2 linked regions of the Saccharomyces cerevisiae S288C genome follow. The gene in region 2 interacts genetically with the main gene of each other region. Each region holds a gene or a part of one and is shown on either strand. Other genes may lie near its edges.

What was found.
Region 1: mutations in ZDS2 (region 2) and IGO2 impair growth when combined (synthetic growth defect), as found in Saccharomyces cerevisiae (2 studies listed by BioGRID, with this or other methods).

The regions. Positions count from the first base shown.
Region 1 is NC_001140.6:368,120-370,949, forward strand, and holds IGO2 (phosphatase regulator), read left to right. Parts: upstream 1-1,934; coding exon 1,935-2,330; downstream 2,331-2,830. Other genes in the region: ECM14 (putative metallocarboxypeptidase), read right to left, coding at 383-1,675; NSG1 (Nsg1p), read right to left, coding at 2,603-2,830. UniProt on the Saccharomyces cerevisiae protein: Required for TORC1 to properly control gene expression and chronological life span. Plays an essential role in initiation of the G0 program by preventing the degradation of specific nutrient-regulated mRNAs via the 5'-3' mRNA decay pathway.
Region 2 is NC_001145.3:49,808-55,000, reverse strand, and holds ZDS2 (Zds2p), read right to left. Parts: upstream 3,362-5,193; coding exon 533-3,361; downstream 1-532. Other genes in the region: YML108W (uncharacterized protein), read right to left, coding at 1-208; COQ5 (2-hexaprenyl-6-methoxy-1,4-benzoquinone methyltransferase), read left to right, coding at 4,047-4,970. UniProt on the Saccharomyces cerevisiae protein: Acts as a negative regulator of polarized growth via an alternative mechanism to ZDS1. In heat-stressed cells appears to play a role in localizing BCY1 to the cytoplasm. Seems to interact with, and down-regulate, CDC42. Also acts as a suppressor of PKC1.

The sequences.
Region 1 (2,830 bases), on a different chromosome or scaffold from region 2:
AGGACTTACAATGTTGATCTCCTGAGTATTGTTAATGTCCAAAATGACCGAACAACAGCGGATAACGATATATATCCTTCTTGCAATTATAAAGAATCGTAAGATAACTCCGTCAACGATGATGTGGAAATTATGACCCTCTTGGAGGCTTAATCACTAAAAAGGAGATGAAGCCTTCAAGTCACATCAAAATAATCGAAGCCAACACCAAAGAATTTTACAGATTGGTTCTGCTCATGTTAGGGGGTGTATGAGCAGATAATCCAAGTTAAAATAATTTTTTGGAGAATATAGAAGAAAATATATAAGGTTTTGCTTTTTCTAGATTTTATATAGGATAGGGTATTACTAACTTGTAATATAATGTATACCGTGGTATCCATTATATCTCTGGGTCTAGTAGGAAGTCACAAAAGTACTTTAAAGCAGCATAAGTTTCCTTTCCAACTGGCTTGATGTTTTCTGGAGGCAATAAAAATCCATGGTTCCCTGTATCCCGTAATTTCAACTGGAATGCCCAATGTGCTCTGTGGTGGTACATGAAGTCCAACGCAGAACCTGCACCGAGGCCGGGGAATATGTCGGAACCACGGTCCTTACATGCGGAGATTACGTCGTAGTTTCTACCTGATTTTGAACGGATGGCCTTGGATAAGCCATATGATAACTCCAACAAATTTTCTAAGTCTCTGGGCAAGGCATCACACGAGTATGCGTAGGGATATAAAATCTCCTGTGAATACGAATGCATGTCAATGTAGCCATAAATTTTGTAATCGCCCTTGGTTTCATTAATATACTTGTACCAAGCAGATGCTTCCCAAGCTTCGAAGGGCGTTTCCCCACTATACTCTTCGCTGCAAGCGTGGGTGTGTGCCTTTTCCCACTGGAAACCAAAGGAATGATCAATGTCGATACCAAGACATTGAGGAACATGAGTCCTTTGACGATTCTTACGCCATAGTCTGTCATGCGACCACGTATATGCGTATCCGTCTGGATTGAACACAGGTATGACTAAAAAGTCCAAATCGTCCAGGTATTTGGTTTCCTTCTTAGACGAACCATATCGATTTAACAACTGATAAAGTGCCCAACAGACGGTACTGACACTGATCCACTCTCTGGCATGTATACCACCTGTGATAACAATAGTCTTCTTTTCCGGGTTTGATTCTGGCTTGTTTCCGGATATATGCAGAGCTTTTAGCTCTCTGCCTTCAAATGTCCTGCCCAAGTGTTCCACTGCAACCAAACTGGGAAAGCTTCTTTCTAGAAGATCCAACCACATATAAATAGTATCCAGGTCCCTGTATTCGTTAAAGAAGAAATCGTAATCATTTTCAAAAACAGCCTGCTCACGTGCCATCATCTGACTTGTAGGCAATGTATTTTGTATCAATTCATTCATGTTATCTATGATCACCTGCCCATCATTTATCTGCTCACCTATTTCTTTAGGCAACTTAATATCAATGAAATTATTGCTTCTCGTCCATACATCATAATCATCTGTCAGCGGTGCGATCACATCTCTTACCAGGGTAGAATAGTTGTCTGAAGTAAACCTGTAAACAGCGTATTCACTGTAATCCTCTTGGAGACCCTGCACAGCACCTGTCACGGCTAGTAAAACGAAAAGAAAACAACCCCACAACGAATTCATGTGCAACATGATATAACTTAACACTCTGGTTTGTTTATATAGTGTTAACTTGGTCTTTTAAACCGTCGAAAATATTTTATCCTTCCTTCCATTTAGTTGGAACCATTTTCTAGTTCTTCGTAAAATCCGCAGTCAGCGCAGGAGAAAATAGAACGAGACAAATGATCTTTTAAATTACAGGTTATCGCGGGAGAATATTGGGGTTCAGAAATACAACACATATAAACAAAAATACGTACCAAAGAAGTGTTATAAAAGTGATATAACTATGTCAGAGGATCTTTCACCTACAAGCAGCAGGGTGGATTTGAGCAATCCTCATGGGTTTACCAAAGAGGGAGTGGATTTATCGAAGCTGTCACCACAAGAACTAAAATTGTATAAAATGTATGGGAAGCTTCCATCCAAAAAAGATCTGTTAAGACATAAGATGCAGGATCGTCAATATTTTGACAGCGGAGATTATGCATTGAAAAAGGCCGGAGTCATTAAGTCGGATGACGTTATCGTGAATAATTCTAGTAATAATCTACCAGTGACCAATCCTAGCGGTTTAAGAGAGTCTATTATTAGAAGACGTATGAGTAGTAGTAGTGGTGGCGATTCTATCTCGAGACAAGGAAGTATCTCAAGTGGACCTCCACCAAGATCTCCAAATAAATGACTAATGAAGGAATGATATTATGTGGTATTACTTTTTTTTTATCATCACTAGCTTCGGCTAAGCCCTTGCATTTTCAATATTCAATTACCAAATAATATATATATATATATATATATATGTATGTATGGTATACCTTGTGTTACTGATGTGTTTTTTGTTGACGTCATCCTTTTGATTTACTCACATGCTTAGTAAATGAAGGTTGTTGAGGCCTAAAAATCAGCTAAGATTTACACATCGATACTAATCATTGAACGCCCCTATGGGAACACTTAATTGAATAAATATCTGCCCAACTTGCTGAACATCAAAAACCCAAAAAAATAGAAATCTATAAAATACAACGCCAGTGACAACTGCGAGAAACATTGTGAGCAAGTGAACGCACTAAGGGCACCAATTACTAGACCTGGGAAAAAAACGGTTAAAGTGCCATCAAAGAACAACCACAGAACAATGTTTAATAAGCTCCATGCACCAGCTGCCTGCAAAGAGGAGGA
Region 2 (5,193 bases):
CTTCGTTCGGTATACATATTTCGGCATCGAACTTATCAAACCAGGTATTTAATTCGTCCAGTTCGTCAACATTAAATGGAAGTATCAACTCGTCAACAAATTCATGCATTTTTCCCGGCTTACCTTTCAAAAATTTTTCATCTTCTTTATTTATCTTGGTGTCGTCTTCTAGTAAGACGAGCATCCTATAAGTATTACTCTTGGACATTTCGTTTTTCTCTTTCGTCTTAGTGTAGTACGAGATAGAATTCAACCGCAAGGTAGCCTTGCTGTATTGGACAGATCATTCGAATTTGTTCCAAATAGGATGAGATGAGGTCGGCTTTTCTTCATTCTCGCTAGAAAATTTAAAAAAAAAGAAAAAAATAATTACATAAATATATATTTATATGTATATACTGTAGTCCTTCCTTGCATGAAAAGACGACGTTTTTCGTGATAATAAGAAGTTTGACACTAAAAGGGCATCCTTACAATACTTGAAATATGTGGCCTTATATAGGTATCTATCAATCTTGTAAACAGTTATGAGTTAAATGTCTGGAATTAAGATTGTGCCATCAGAATCATTTTTGTCCATCATTCCCAAGGCAGAATCACCATTGAAGGCTATATCTCCAGTGCCCACCTGCTCCATGTATAAGGTATGATTGACTAAATTCAAGTAGGAGTACATGAAGTTACTTAGCAATACTTGTTGTCTTAATTCCCTCCCGGGATCGCTAAGCTTCAGATGGCTGAGTCTGTAAATAGCCCTTTCAACATTAATTCCTAGACGATGGTCAAACATAATCACTGTAGAGTTGGTTATCATTGGTAATGGGAATCCAAAAGCACTGTCTGTGAATTTTATTGGAGCGTTTGAGTAATCTGGTTTAACGACATCTTCAAATGTCAATTTTCTTGGAGGCAAAGTTGAGATTTGAGGGGCAGTAGGTGAAGTGTTGTCTTCTCTCTCTGCTCCTATATCCTCTTCTAGTCCAGCTGTCGTATCTCTACTGATACTAGAGTGCACTTCGACGTCGTAGTTTACATCACCACCACTAATATCAAATGAATCGTCGCCATCTAACTCGCTTATAGTTTCCACCACAAATTCAGAACTGTGGCTAGTATGGCTGTCAGGAAGAAGGGTGGAAGCATTTGAACTTCTCACTTCTGGTTCAATGACGCTTGCTGTATCTATATCTTCGGTGGTAATTGTTTTGGTGGGGGATGAAGGGCGTTCAACTTCCGCTTCTTGGGGCTTTTTCTTGGGACTTTTCCTGAATTTTGATAAACTCGAATGCGAAGCCTTCTTTTTCAGTTCTTTTTTAACACTTTTTTTGATTACTTTCACATCTGATTTGCAGGTACCATTATGTTGTTTTCTTTTGAATAATTTGGCAAGCCTTTTCTCCAAGGAATTTTTCTTATGTGTACTGGCTTGGGTGTCAGTAGGCAGTTCTACCTTTTTCTCCACGACTGCCGGTGCAGTAGGCTTAGATGGCTGGGATTCAGATGAAGAAACGACTGAAGGAGTGATTACCACGGATTTTGCTTCTTCAGAATGTATCTGGAAAATTGGCGAATGTCTATTTTTGGAATGGTTTATTCTTTCAGAGGCACGTTTGGTAGATTTCGCTCTCCTCGATACACTCAAGTTAACAAAGTCAGCTTTTTCATTGTCCACACATTCTTCATCGTCTTCATCATCTGTAAGCTGTTGATAAGTTTGTTCATTAGCGTTCAAACTTCCATTGCTAGAATTCAACCATGACCAGCCATGATTTGCTTCGCTGTTATTGGTATTTGATTTTTCACTCGAGCTAACGTGCTGATCCAATTTTTCAGAAATCATCGAACCAGTGTTATGCGGCTTTATTAAAACGCTGTTGTTAGAACTATCTGTAGATAAAAGACTGCTCTCTTGAGAAATAGATGCATGTGTCAAATCTTCTTCATCCGAATAGTAGTTGGTGCTATCAACGTATTTCTCATTTTCGGTACTCCAATCAGTACTTGTTCTTCTGTAATGGTCGAAAATCTCGTGAAAATCATTCAATGATGCTTGCTCCTGAGGCACTTGTGTGTAGGAGGCAGGCGATGATGCACTTCTGCGATTGTCATTAGTTTGTATATTCATTAGGCTATTGAGTTTTACCGCCTGTGGAAGGCTACTACCCTCTAGTCTGATCTTATATGTGTTGAATTTAGACCTCCTTAGAGAAGATCTCTCTGGTATGGTAAGTCCAGTTTCATTAAACATATTTGATGCAAATTCGTTATCATTTTCAGTGTGATTGCCGTTCAAATGAAGACTTTCGTTGGTAAATGACCCTGACATGCTCAAGCTTCTGGCTAAAGTCACCGCATCTGAGTCCGTTAAACCGGCATTATTGGAAATCTTAGTAAGCTCTTCAGTAATTTCTTTCAAAGATACAGATCTTATGGTTTTGATGTCAGATGAGGATATTCGCTTATCCACTTGTATTTCTCCTTCTTGTGGTTTGTCTGCAAGGGGAGGTTCGTCATCAAACTTGGTATAAGATGTCTTCAACCGAGAAGGCCTTCTAACTACAGAGCCCGTGCGTTTTCTATTCGAAATTACATGATTGTTACCCAGTTCTAATTTGTTTTCATCAATGTCTTGATTTGTGCTTATTTGAATGTTTTGTAAAGTGTCCTGGATCAATTCCAAATAGTTTTCGGGCTTAACGTTAGGATGTTGGTCAGCGGGCACCCACAAAAGGTTTTGAGTTAAATCAACCATTTTTGAATCGTGGTCGTTCTCCACATCCAATACAACATCGTGAGCCAATGTCTTTACTCCACTGAGCCTTCTGTTCCTCGACGTTACTCTTGCTGAAGATGAAGTGGATGAAGAAGCATTACGGATGATTTTTTCCTTCTCCAATGTTTCTTCATCATGCAAATACTCTGTTTGAGTGATATCTATACTGTCGTCGACATTAGTAGCATCGCCCTCTTCATATGCATCATTGTCTTCGCTCCCTTGTTCTTCCTTTTGTTCTGATCGTATAATGTTCTCTTCATGGAGCGATTCTTGAAGGGATTCCTTTGAGGAATCTGAAGAATATGAGTTTCTACTGTTCACTTTGAACTCTAGCTCAGGGTCAATTACCAAATCCATTGAACCAATCGACAATCGCTTCAAATTTTTCACATTCTGAATTTCTGTATCTAAAGACTTGGCAGCAATTAACACGTCAGATTTCCTCTTCTCAAAAAGCTCCTTCTTGGACAGCTGTGTCTTCCTCATTCGCCTCATTTGAATATTATTATTACTGTCCGTACCACCACTACTGTTTTCTACAGTATTATGGCCATCTTTGTTTTGCATATCTTCCATCAGTACCATAAAATTCTAATTTAAATTCAGTCTATAGTGCAAACGTGATCAATGTAAAGTATACGATACTACTAACCTTGACACTGTTCTTTAGCGTTTTACTCCAGTTTTCAATCATATTATTATGATCTAACGAAGATGAGATGAAAACAAAAATAAGACGCGGCGTGTGCTACCCGCACAACGCGTCAGCAAATGTTACTGGTCACAATAATCATGCACTTATAATTAGCTACAAAAGGCCACTTCTAGGTCCAATGTGACCATTTTGCAGCCAAATCAAGCATAAACCGGCCGTGATACTATCGGCGATACACAGCCTAAATTTCTGAGTTTTGCGGTTTTCTCTGTGGGAAAAGTGCGAGAATTTTTCTGAATTGGGAAGAGTACATGTCAAAAACGGGAAGTGACACCATTGAGCAAATATCAAGGTATCCGATAGTTCTGTTCTCGATATTGGAACACAGTTATTTGGCAAATGTATCATTAAATGAAAGTCTTTCCGTATAGGATTCTGCCCTGTTGCCTGCTCTTCCCTAATATGGAAACTAGCTTCCGCATTTGACAAAAACTGAAAAAGTGGAAAAAAAAGGATCACACAAGAAACTATAAGGATATCTGCCACCTTCACTCCTTATACAGCTGCTGTTACAATTGCAAAGGGAATAGTACAGATCGCAGCAAGAAAGATATAATGTTGATTTCTTCACGGATCGTTCGAAGCTCGCTGGTAAATGTCCCGCTAAGATTATCTAGGTGTTTTACGCAAGCTCACAGAGCATGCAAAGAAGAAGAAGTTAATAGTCCTTTATCATCCGCAGCTGAACAGCCAGAGCAGAAGTATACGCATTTTGGTTCGAAGACTGTATTGAAGTCTACCAAGCAGAAGTTAGTTGGTGATGTCTTTTCTTCCGTGGCCAATCGGTATGACTTGATGAATGATGTTATGTCATTAGGAATTCATAGATTGTGGAAGGACCATTTTATCAATAAACTAGATGCGGGAAAAAGGCCAAACTCTACGACTCCTTTGAACTTCATAGATGTGGCTGGGGGATCCGGTGATATTGCTTTCGGATTACTAGACCATGCTGAGTCGAAATTTGGTGACACTGAGTCTACAATGGATATTGTAGATATCAACCCTGACATGCTTAAAGAAGGTGAGAAGAGAGCCATGGAACAAGGAAAATATTTCAAGGATCCTCGTGTGAGATTTTTGGTTTCTAATGGTGAGAAACTAGAGGAGATTGATTCTGATTCCAAGGACATCTACACAGTCTCCTTCGGTATCAGAAATTTCACCGATATTCAAAAGGGTTTAAACACTGCTTATAGAGTTTTGAAACCGGGCGGTATTTTTTATTGTCTAGAATTTTCCAAAATTGAGAATCCCCTAATGGACTTTGCTTACCAACAGTGGGCTAAGGTCCTACCTGTAATGGGCTCGATGATTGCTAATGACTACGACTCTTACCAGTATTTGGTGGAGTCTATCGAAAGATTTCCTGACCAAGAAACGTTCAAATCCATGATTGAGAAGGCAGGATTCAAATCTGCTGGCTACGAAAGTTTAACTTTTGGTATATGTGCCATCCATTGGGGCATTAAAGTTTAAAGTAAATAGAACAAATTTCCTTTTTTTTTTGTCAAGAAAATCGAAGCTAGTAAAACATGCCTATACTATTTCTGTCTCTCTTCTTCTTTAGTAATACCTGTGCCATGTGATAGCCATATATTTTGCTGTGATGTGCAGAATTCGTATATACTAGGGGGAAATAGAACGAAAGAAAGAAAGAAAAAAAAAAAAAGAAATAAGTGACTGTACATAATATAATAAT